2 linked regions of the Callithrix jacchus genome follow. The protein of the gene in region 1 purifies or fractionates together with the protein of each later gene. This does not show direct contact. Links are inferred from orthologs where the notes say so. Each region holds a gene or a part of one and is shown in the gene's direction. Other genes may lie near its edges.

Region 1 (3,825 bases):
TTCCTCTAGCACTAAAATACTCAGAAAGGAAGGAGAGGTTGTTTTTTTCTGAGGGTGGAATTGGAATCACTTTATTTTACTGCTGTAGCATGCTAGGAATGTAGCTGGGTTGCATGTGGAGGTGGAGTTGTTTCTGAGAAAGTCAGTTAACAAAGGCCTCTGCAGTCCCCTCTGTGCATGACTAATATTTCATTGGAATGTATCAGCTGAAATATGGAAATACATCCATAACAGTGGGTAAATATTCACTCTCTGAGACCTGTAAGTATTCCTCTTTGCAGTCCCAGACCCTTCCCCCTATATGCCACCCCACGACCCAGCAATTAAAAATTATTAACATTAAATGCTCTGTGACTGTTTAATATCAAATTCTGGTTTCTATGCTAACATTTCTGGCAAATCATTATTAAATTCGTTGTTGCTTATTTTTGTAGAAATATTATGGCTCTTCGAAATCATTTAGTTTCAAGCACACCTGCCACGGATTATTTTCTGCAACAAAAAGACTACTTCATCATTTTCCTCCTGATTCTGCTTCAAGTCATAATAAACTTCATGTTCAAATAGTTCTCTACCATTGAATCAGTGAACTAGAAAGATCTGATTTGGCCTGGGACCATTGTTCAAGTTGGTTTGGTCTTTATTAAAAATCACAATATTTCTAAAAAAATAAAAATAAAAAAAAAACCTAGTAGATAAATGTAGAGGTATTGACTTTTCGTATCTTTTATCTTCACACTGAAACAAGAGCTATCCTATTTGATTATTAAAGTGAGCTATGTGTTAAGTGCCAGGACATTTCTAGCTTTTGTGAGAATGTGTCTACATGTGAGTATAATAAACCCACATGTATACACAATTGTCTCTTAAGTACTCTTACCTTACAGTAATCTTCGTATTCTATAGTATGTTCTGAGATGTAATGTTAACATTGTTCATAACAAAAAATGCTATAATCTTATAAATACATGTAATCTATTTTCTTCATAAAACAGGCACAAAACTTTTATCAGTAAGGAATTACAGATTGAGAAATGATGGAATAATAGACATAATTAGTTCAATGCAGTACTGCTAAAATCATTTGCAAAGCACTCAGCTGAGTTATCTTCTTAGAAAGAAAAAGTATGAATGGTCAAAATGAATATATTGAAAGAGATAAATGGCAAATTGTTTTTTTTAAAGTTTACACAAGATTTTTTTTAACCCCCAGAATTTAATATATAGAGATTGAGGTAAATATATATACTTATGTGTATATCAGTATAAAAACACTGGTGTGCAACTACTTGGATTGATTATAATACCACCTTAAGCACTTGCAGAAAAAAGTGTTGTCAAAATTGATTGCTGTCCTTTTTTCTTACTTTTGTTTTTCTTAGGTCATCTGGTTCATAACATAGGCCAAATTCTAGAGATGTTTATAGGGCATTTGAAGTGCTGGTAATTCATGTTTTCTCATTATGAAAACTTATTTTAGCTTTAGACCCTAGTGTGTTCAGTGAGTAAGTAGAATACAAAAGATTATAACCAATATTTTACTTCAAAAGCCAAAAAGAGAAAGTCAGTAAGAAAAGACACTGTGTGGTGGCACGTATGTGTACATTAAGATTGGTTTCTGTAAAACACGCAATAAGTTGAGTATCTATGAAGACTATCAAGTTCTGAAGTTTAATTTTTTATTATCCCCCTCTATTTTTAGTAACTTCTTTCTGTGGCAAAACCACAATTCTTTGAGAATTCTATTATTCAGGCTAAGAAAAACTTAAGTTTTTTTGTTTCTTCAGTTTAATATTTTCACTTTGTATTTTTATATAAATATTTATATTCCATGAGAACAGTTTTTGCCAAGGTAGTTAAGTTTAGGAATATGTTGTTCTCAAATATGTCTTAGAATCCTGAAAGTATAGATTTTGAATTTTTTTTTAATAATAATGAATGTCAGAGAGAATAATTGCCCTGACCACATTTGCCTTTCAGTAGGAGGTGGCTGTGAAATAGTAAAATTATAATCAGTTGTTTATGCCATGATAAATACAAGGGCTGATTGCTAAATTATGAAAATCAAAATGATTATAAAAAGAGCCTGCTTTTTTCCCTAACCAGTGTAGCTATCTTAAGTATTCTTAGGTTTCTGTGAAGAACCATTTCCCATGTTTTGTTGGCACAGTAATTCTGTCTTCTATATGTACATGTGAATTGATGTTTTAAATTGATAAAAGCATAAATAAGACCAACCTATACCCATTATTTTCATGACATTAGAACTAATGGATTTTTGGTTATATTTCATATTTGTCAATGTAATTTTTGTATTCACATTCTGTTACATTCTGCCTATTCATTGATATATGATATTCTGTAAATATTGTACAACTTGATCTTTTTTATGCTTTAAATTAGTTAATTACATGTAACTTGATTGGCTTATCACAAAAATGATTTCATCATTAAACCTTGATAACACTTTTTATTGGTGACCCACCTCTTAGGACTTTGGTCTTATCCACGTGTATGTTGTTTTCATTTGGTACAAATAATATTTCATCTGTATGGGTATCATCTAAGACTAAACAGGTGGTTGTTTTCTTTATTTTTAAAATTTCTTTTTAGAGCAAATGTTATGGGTTCTTACCCAAAGAGTCAAAACTATTTCTTAAGAAAGAGCAGGGTTATTCATGACTGTTTCTTGTACACTAAAAGCATACATCTAATCTAATAGTCCTCTTACGCTTTTAGTTGTATGAGTTTCTTTCTATGAACTGAACACAAAACTCAGGAATTGGTGGCTTAATTTTAGATCAGTGCTTGTACTAGGCTTAGTTATACGAATCTTTAAAACACGTAATTACTAACTTTGTAGCCATAATATGTAATTGACTTTGAATGTTATTTACCTGAAATTAATCTTCCTTCACACCTGAATTCATAATGTGATTTACAGTTCCTAGTTGTCTGAGAGCCTCATGAGGGTTTCTAGGACTTAGTACTTTATGACCAGTTTTTTTCATTTATCAAAATTTTATTTTCTTACATGAAAACTTAATTGAGTAATAATTATTCACATGTGCATTTTATTCATAGCTGTTAAATGTCCCATGCCATCATTAACCATTTAGTAAGATGTAGCTGGCCCAGGACACGTAAAAGAAAACAGTAAATAGGGCATGTGAAATGTTAAGTTACAGCAATAGATATTTCGCTTGTATTTCATTGTTTTGTATCACTTAGGTACAGTGTACTCTTGGTCACAGCTCAGTTGGCAACTACGTTCCATTGAAAAGTAGGCCTTGTAAAATACAATTTTCATTTAATATTCATACTGTTGTGCCTTTAAGAAATATGTTTTGTCATTTTTGTGTTACAGAACTAATATGATTCAAGGTGTTTATAGACTTAGTTGTCATAAAAGCGTCATTTCTGTGTCACTTTATTTTTTTTTATATAGCTATAGTATATTTAAACAATAATGCTATCTTTTATAAGGGTTTGTCTATTTACCTATTCTTTACTCAGACATTGATGTAGACTTGTCAGATTATTCTGAATATTGTTAACAGTGCCTTTTCGATGGAATTCACACTTTTTTGGCTGTCAACTTGTGCCATATACATACAAAATTTTGTGGAAGGCAGTTTTAACTTTTTGAAGAATATCTGTCAAAATTTAAGAAAACAAATGTATAAAATTCCATTTTTTCCAGTATTTAGCATTTCTAGTAAGCAGTGAGGTTTTTTTGTTTGACATACAGTGATGATGGCATTATTGATAAGCCATACATGAGACTGCAGATTATACTGAATTATATTAAATATACATAAATAA
Region 2 (3,825 bases), on another chromosome or scaffold:
AAGCTTCTTAATAGCCTCCCCAGGGGATTCTGATGCAGGCTCAAGTTTGGAAACCACAGAGCTGAGAAAACTGACCTAGCTTTGTCCTGAGACACAAGTAAATAGATGTGCAATAAATAGATGATTGGTTTTGAGGACAACTCCAGGTAGCTATACTGAGAAAGTGACCATCTAGTGTTCTGATCATCCATCTGCCACACTCAGATTTTTCTGTTCTACAGATTGTTTTGCTTCATTCCCTCCTTCACCAGATGTTCTCTGCATCAGGGCTGAGCTGATTACCTAGATGTCAGTTCCTTGATCTAGCCACACACATAAGGAGACTCAACTCAAGGTTCAGATGGGCAAGGTGGCTCACGCCCATAATCTCAGCACTTTGGGAGGCCAAGGCGGGAGAATCACCTGAGCTCAGGAGTTAGAGAGCAGCCTGGCCAACATGGTGAAACCCCGTCTCAACTAAAAATACAAAAATTAGCCTGGTGTGGTAGTGCGTACCTGTAGTCCTAGCTACTCAGGAGGCTGAGGCAGGAGAATCACTTGAACCCCGGAGGTTGAGGCTGCAGCTGCAGTGAGCTGAGATCGCACTGCTGCACTCCAGCATGAGCAACAGAGCAACATTCTGTCTCAAAAAATAAAAAAAAAAAATTAATTTAAACTCAAGGTTCTAGCTCCTTTATTTCAGCTTTCCTTTAAATTAAAATGCTACTTTTTACACTATCAAATAACATCCAGAGAGAATTTGGAATTTACAATGTAAATCTTTTTAACTGGCCTGTTGAAATTGAGTCATATGGAAATGTCAGGCTCTGATCTGAGAGCGCTTTGTAAGATTTTCTAAAAGTCAGTGAGCAATCCCTGTCCCCGTAACAAGATGTCAGCAGATTATAATCACATGTTTTAGAGAACTAGAAACAGAACCAGGAAGAGAGGCTCAATGCTCAATTGTCTCAACTAGGGTGTATCAGACACTGTGACACTTGAAGACTTGTGGATTTGCAGAACAGAGATGGAGTTTATTACTAGTCCAAAACTAATCTCTGATTTAATGGACAGCAGTAAGTGTACAGGGCCCTAGTTCTTTACTGCTTGGTAGGATTATAGCCCTTTAGTTAAAATGAACCAGTGAGTCCTTACCCCACATCCTTATTCATATTGGTTAGTGGAGAATTCCTAGGTTTTCCCACAGGACTTGGGTGGATAGGGCTTGAGGGCTACACAGCCACCTGGTACAGTGTTACATTCATGCTTAAATAATAAGTAGGTTCCTGAGATGTCATTTAACTTAACATCGCCTTCTAGATAGGAAACCAGTCCCATGCCAAAGTAAGAACCAGTGAGGTAGTGAAAAGAAATGTGAGAAATACAGTAGAGAATGCTTGTTCAGGCTTAGCTGCTCCTCTTGTACCATACGACACCTTCAGGCTGCTGCTTTCATCAGCTTTCTGATAGACGTTATGGGTGATCACAGGCTAGTCCAAGTGCAGTGGTGTTTACAACTAATTGAGCACAGCCAGTACAGATTTATTTGTTCCTTCTACACCTATGTTGCTGCACTTGATCATCCTTTAAAAAAAAAAAAGTGGCAAGGAAATGGTGGCTCACGACTATATCCCAGCACTTTGGGTGGCAGAGGCAGGCAGATCACCTGAAGTCAGTAGTTCAAGACCAGCCTGGCCAATATGGTAAAACCCCATTTCTACTAAAAAAAAAAAAAAATAGAAAAATTAGCTGGGGGTGGTGACACACACCTGTAATCCCAGCTACTCGGGAGGCTGAGGCAGGAGAATCACCTGAACCCAGGAGGTGGAGGTTTCAGTGAGCCAAGATCGCGCCACTGCACTCCAGCCTAGATGACAAAGCAAGACTCTGTCTCCCCCCTAAAAAAGCGGTTGCAGATGAGTTAATTGCCGTATTTGGATAGCTGTTTTTATAAAACTGTTTTCTTTGCAGAGGTTCTGTCCAGAAGCAGATTCTAAAACCATGTTGCAGTGCTTGAAGCAAAATAAAAACAGTGAATTGATGGATCCCAAATGCAAACAAATGATAACCAAGCGCCAAATCACCCAGAACACAGGTAAGAGCTTGGCTTGGCTCTCCTGGCCCCGTTGAGTATCTTAAAAGGAATTCAGTGGCTGTAGCGTGACCTGATCAAACTCCTGGGAATTTGAAGGGAGGAGTCTGAGTGTAAGCAGGAGACTTCCTTTTCTGAGGAGCATCCAGAAAAACGGAGGGAGAGTCAGGGGAGAGAGGAGGCCAGAAGAACCAGAAAACTGCCCTTCAAGAACGTTCAGAAGAAATCAGGGCCAGCATTCCTTGGAAGGAGAAATCTAGAAATTCAATAAAACTTGATGAGTGTGGCAGGAGAATGTATGGGTAACCTAGTTCGGAACAGAGACATTTCAACTCTGAGTTGGAAGACTTTGTAACTTCGTGGGCACAGTGAGTTGGATATTGTATTTCCTTCTAAGTATTCTCAAAAATATCTGTTACGGAGAAGGTTGCTGATGTCTGCTTGATTTTTCTGAGGACTCCTTACCTTAGACTGTTGGAATCCCCGTGAAACCCCTCAGAGTAGAAAGATTCCTGAGGACCTCCAGAAGTACTCATTAACTAAATCATATTGTGATTAAAAACAGTGTAGTGAGAACTCAGTAAATGTTTATTGAATAGACAGATTCATGGTTGTAGTCATGGTCATTGACATAATATGCTCCCTTTAGGAAGGTGGATATCTAAAAATGTGTGAATCCAAGGTGGAATATTTGTCACCCACTCTCTGCTTTCTGCTCTAGATTACCGCTTAAACCCCATGCTAAGAAAAGCCTGTAAAGCTGACATTCCTAAATTCTGTCACGGTATCCTGACTAAAGCCAAGGATGATTCAGAATTAGAAGGACAAGTCATCTCCTGCCTCAAGCTGAGATATGCTGACCAGGTAAACTGGCCTGGGCTCTCTACAAAGGTATATTTATGGAGCCTCTATCCCTGGGAATTTTCTCTTTTGAAATCCCTAGCTTGTTCTGGTTTTCCAAAAACCTTTTTCATATCTTCCCCAAGCCGGTGGGGCTAAGGGGCCAGATCAGAAGCAGACTTTTTTTTCTTCTTCTTTTTATTTTATTTTTCTCGTGTCCTGCTTTTGCATTTTCTGATCAGCCAATGTATCCTCCCTTTGTCACAAGCAGCGCCTGTCATCAGACTGCGAAGACCAGATCCGGATCATTATCCAGGAGTCCGCCCTGGACTACCGCCTGGATCCTCAGCTGCAGCTGCACTGCTCAGACGAGGTGGGATTTGTTGCAAAGTTGGTTGCACACGGAGCCACTCAGAGAAGTTTTCACTGGAGAAAAGTTGTTTGCTTTCTTTCCCTTCAGTCCTGAATAATCTGTGATGAATTGAAGGCTGTCTTCTAGGCTCTCCATGGTCTGCGTTCCTGTTCTCTGTAACACTGAATTCTATTTGGTGTTAGTCCTGACACTGTACAGCATTGGTTGCATATTTCTCTATTGAATGAGGGTATTCTTTCATTATAGTTTTCCTTGTAAATTTGTTCTTCCCTTCTCCTTATTCTGTATGGTCAACTCAGAATACCCCAAGACTTCCCAAAAAGATAAAAGTACTTCCAGCTGGGCACAGTGGCTCATGCCTGTAATCCAGTACTTTGGGAGACTGAGACGGGTAGATCACTTCAGGTCAGGAGTTTGAGAACAGCCTGGCCAACACGGTGAAACTTCATGTCTACTAAAAATACAAAATTAGCCTGGCGTGGTGTTACACACCTGTAATACTAGCTTCTTGGGAAACTGAGGCAGGACACCACTTGAACCC

Evidence for each region.
Region 2: the proteins of OSBPL8 (region 1) and GLG1 purify together in Homo sapiens (co-immunoprecipitation; 3 studies listed by BioGRID and IntAct, with this or other methods). This does not show direct contact. The link is inferred for Callithrix jacchus from reciprocal best matches to the Homo sapiens genes OSBPL8 and GLG1.

Annotation. Positions count from the first base shown.
Region 1 is NC_133510.1:78,981,412-78,985,236, reverse strand, and holds part of OSBPL8 (oxysterol-binding protein-related protein 8), read left to right. Parts: intron 1-434; coding exon 435-567; 3' UTR 568-3,825. UniProt on the Homo sapiens protein: Lipid transporter involved in lipid countertransport between the endoplasmic reticulum and the plasma membrane: specifically exchanges phosphatidylserine with phosphatidylinositol 4-phosphate (PI4P), delivering phosphatidylserine to the plasma membrane in exchange for PI4P, which is degraded by the SAC1/SACM1L phosphatase in the endoplasmic reticulum.
Region 2 is NC_133521.1:31,788,468-31,792,292, reverse strand, and holds part of GLG1 (Golgi apparatus protein 1), read left to right. Parts: intron 1-1,950; coding exon 1,951-2,074; intron 2,075-2,792; coding exon 2,793-2,935; intron 2,936-3,182; coding exon 3,183-3,284; intron 3,285-3,825. UniProt on the Homo sapiens protein: Binds fibroblast growth factor and E-selectin (cell-adhesion lectin on endothelial cells mediating the binding of neutrophils).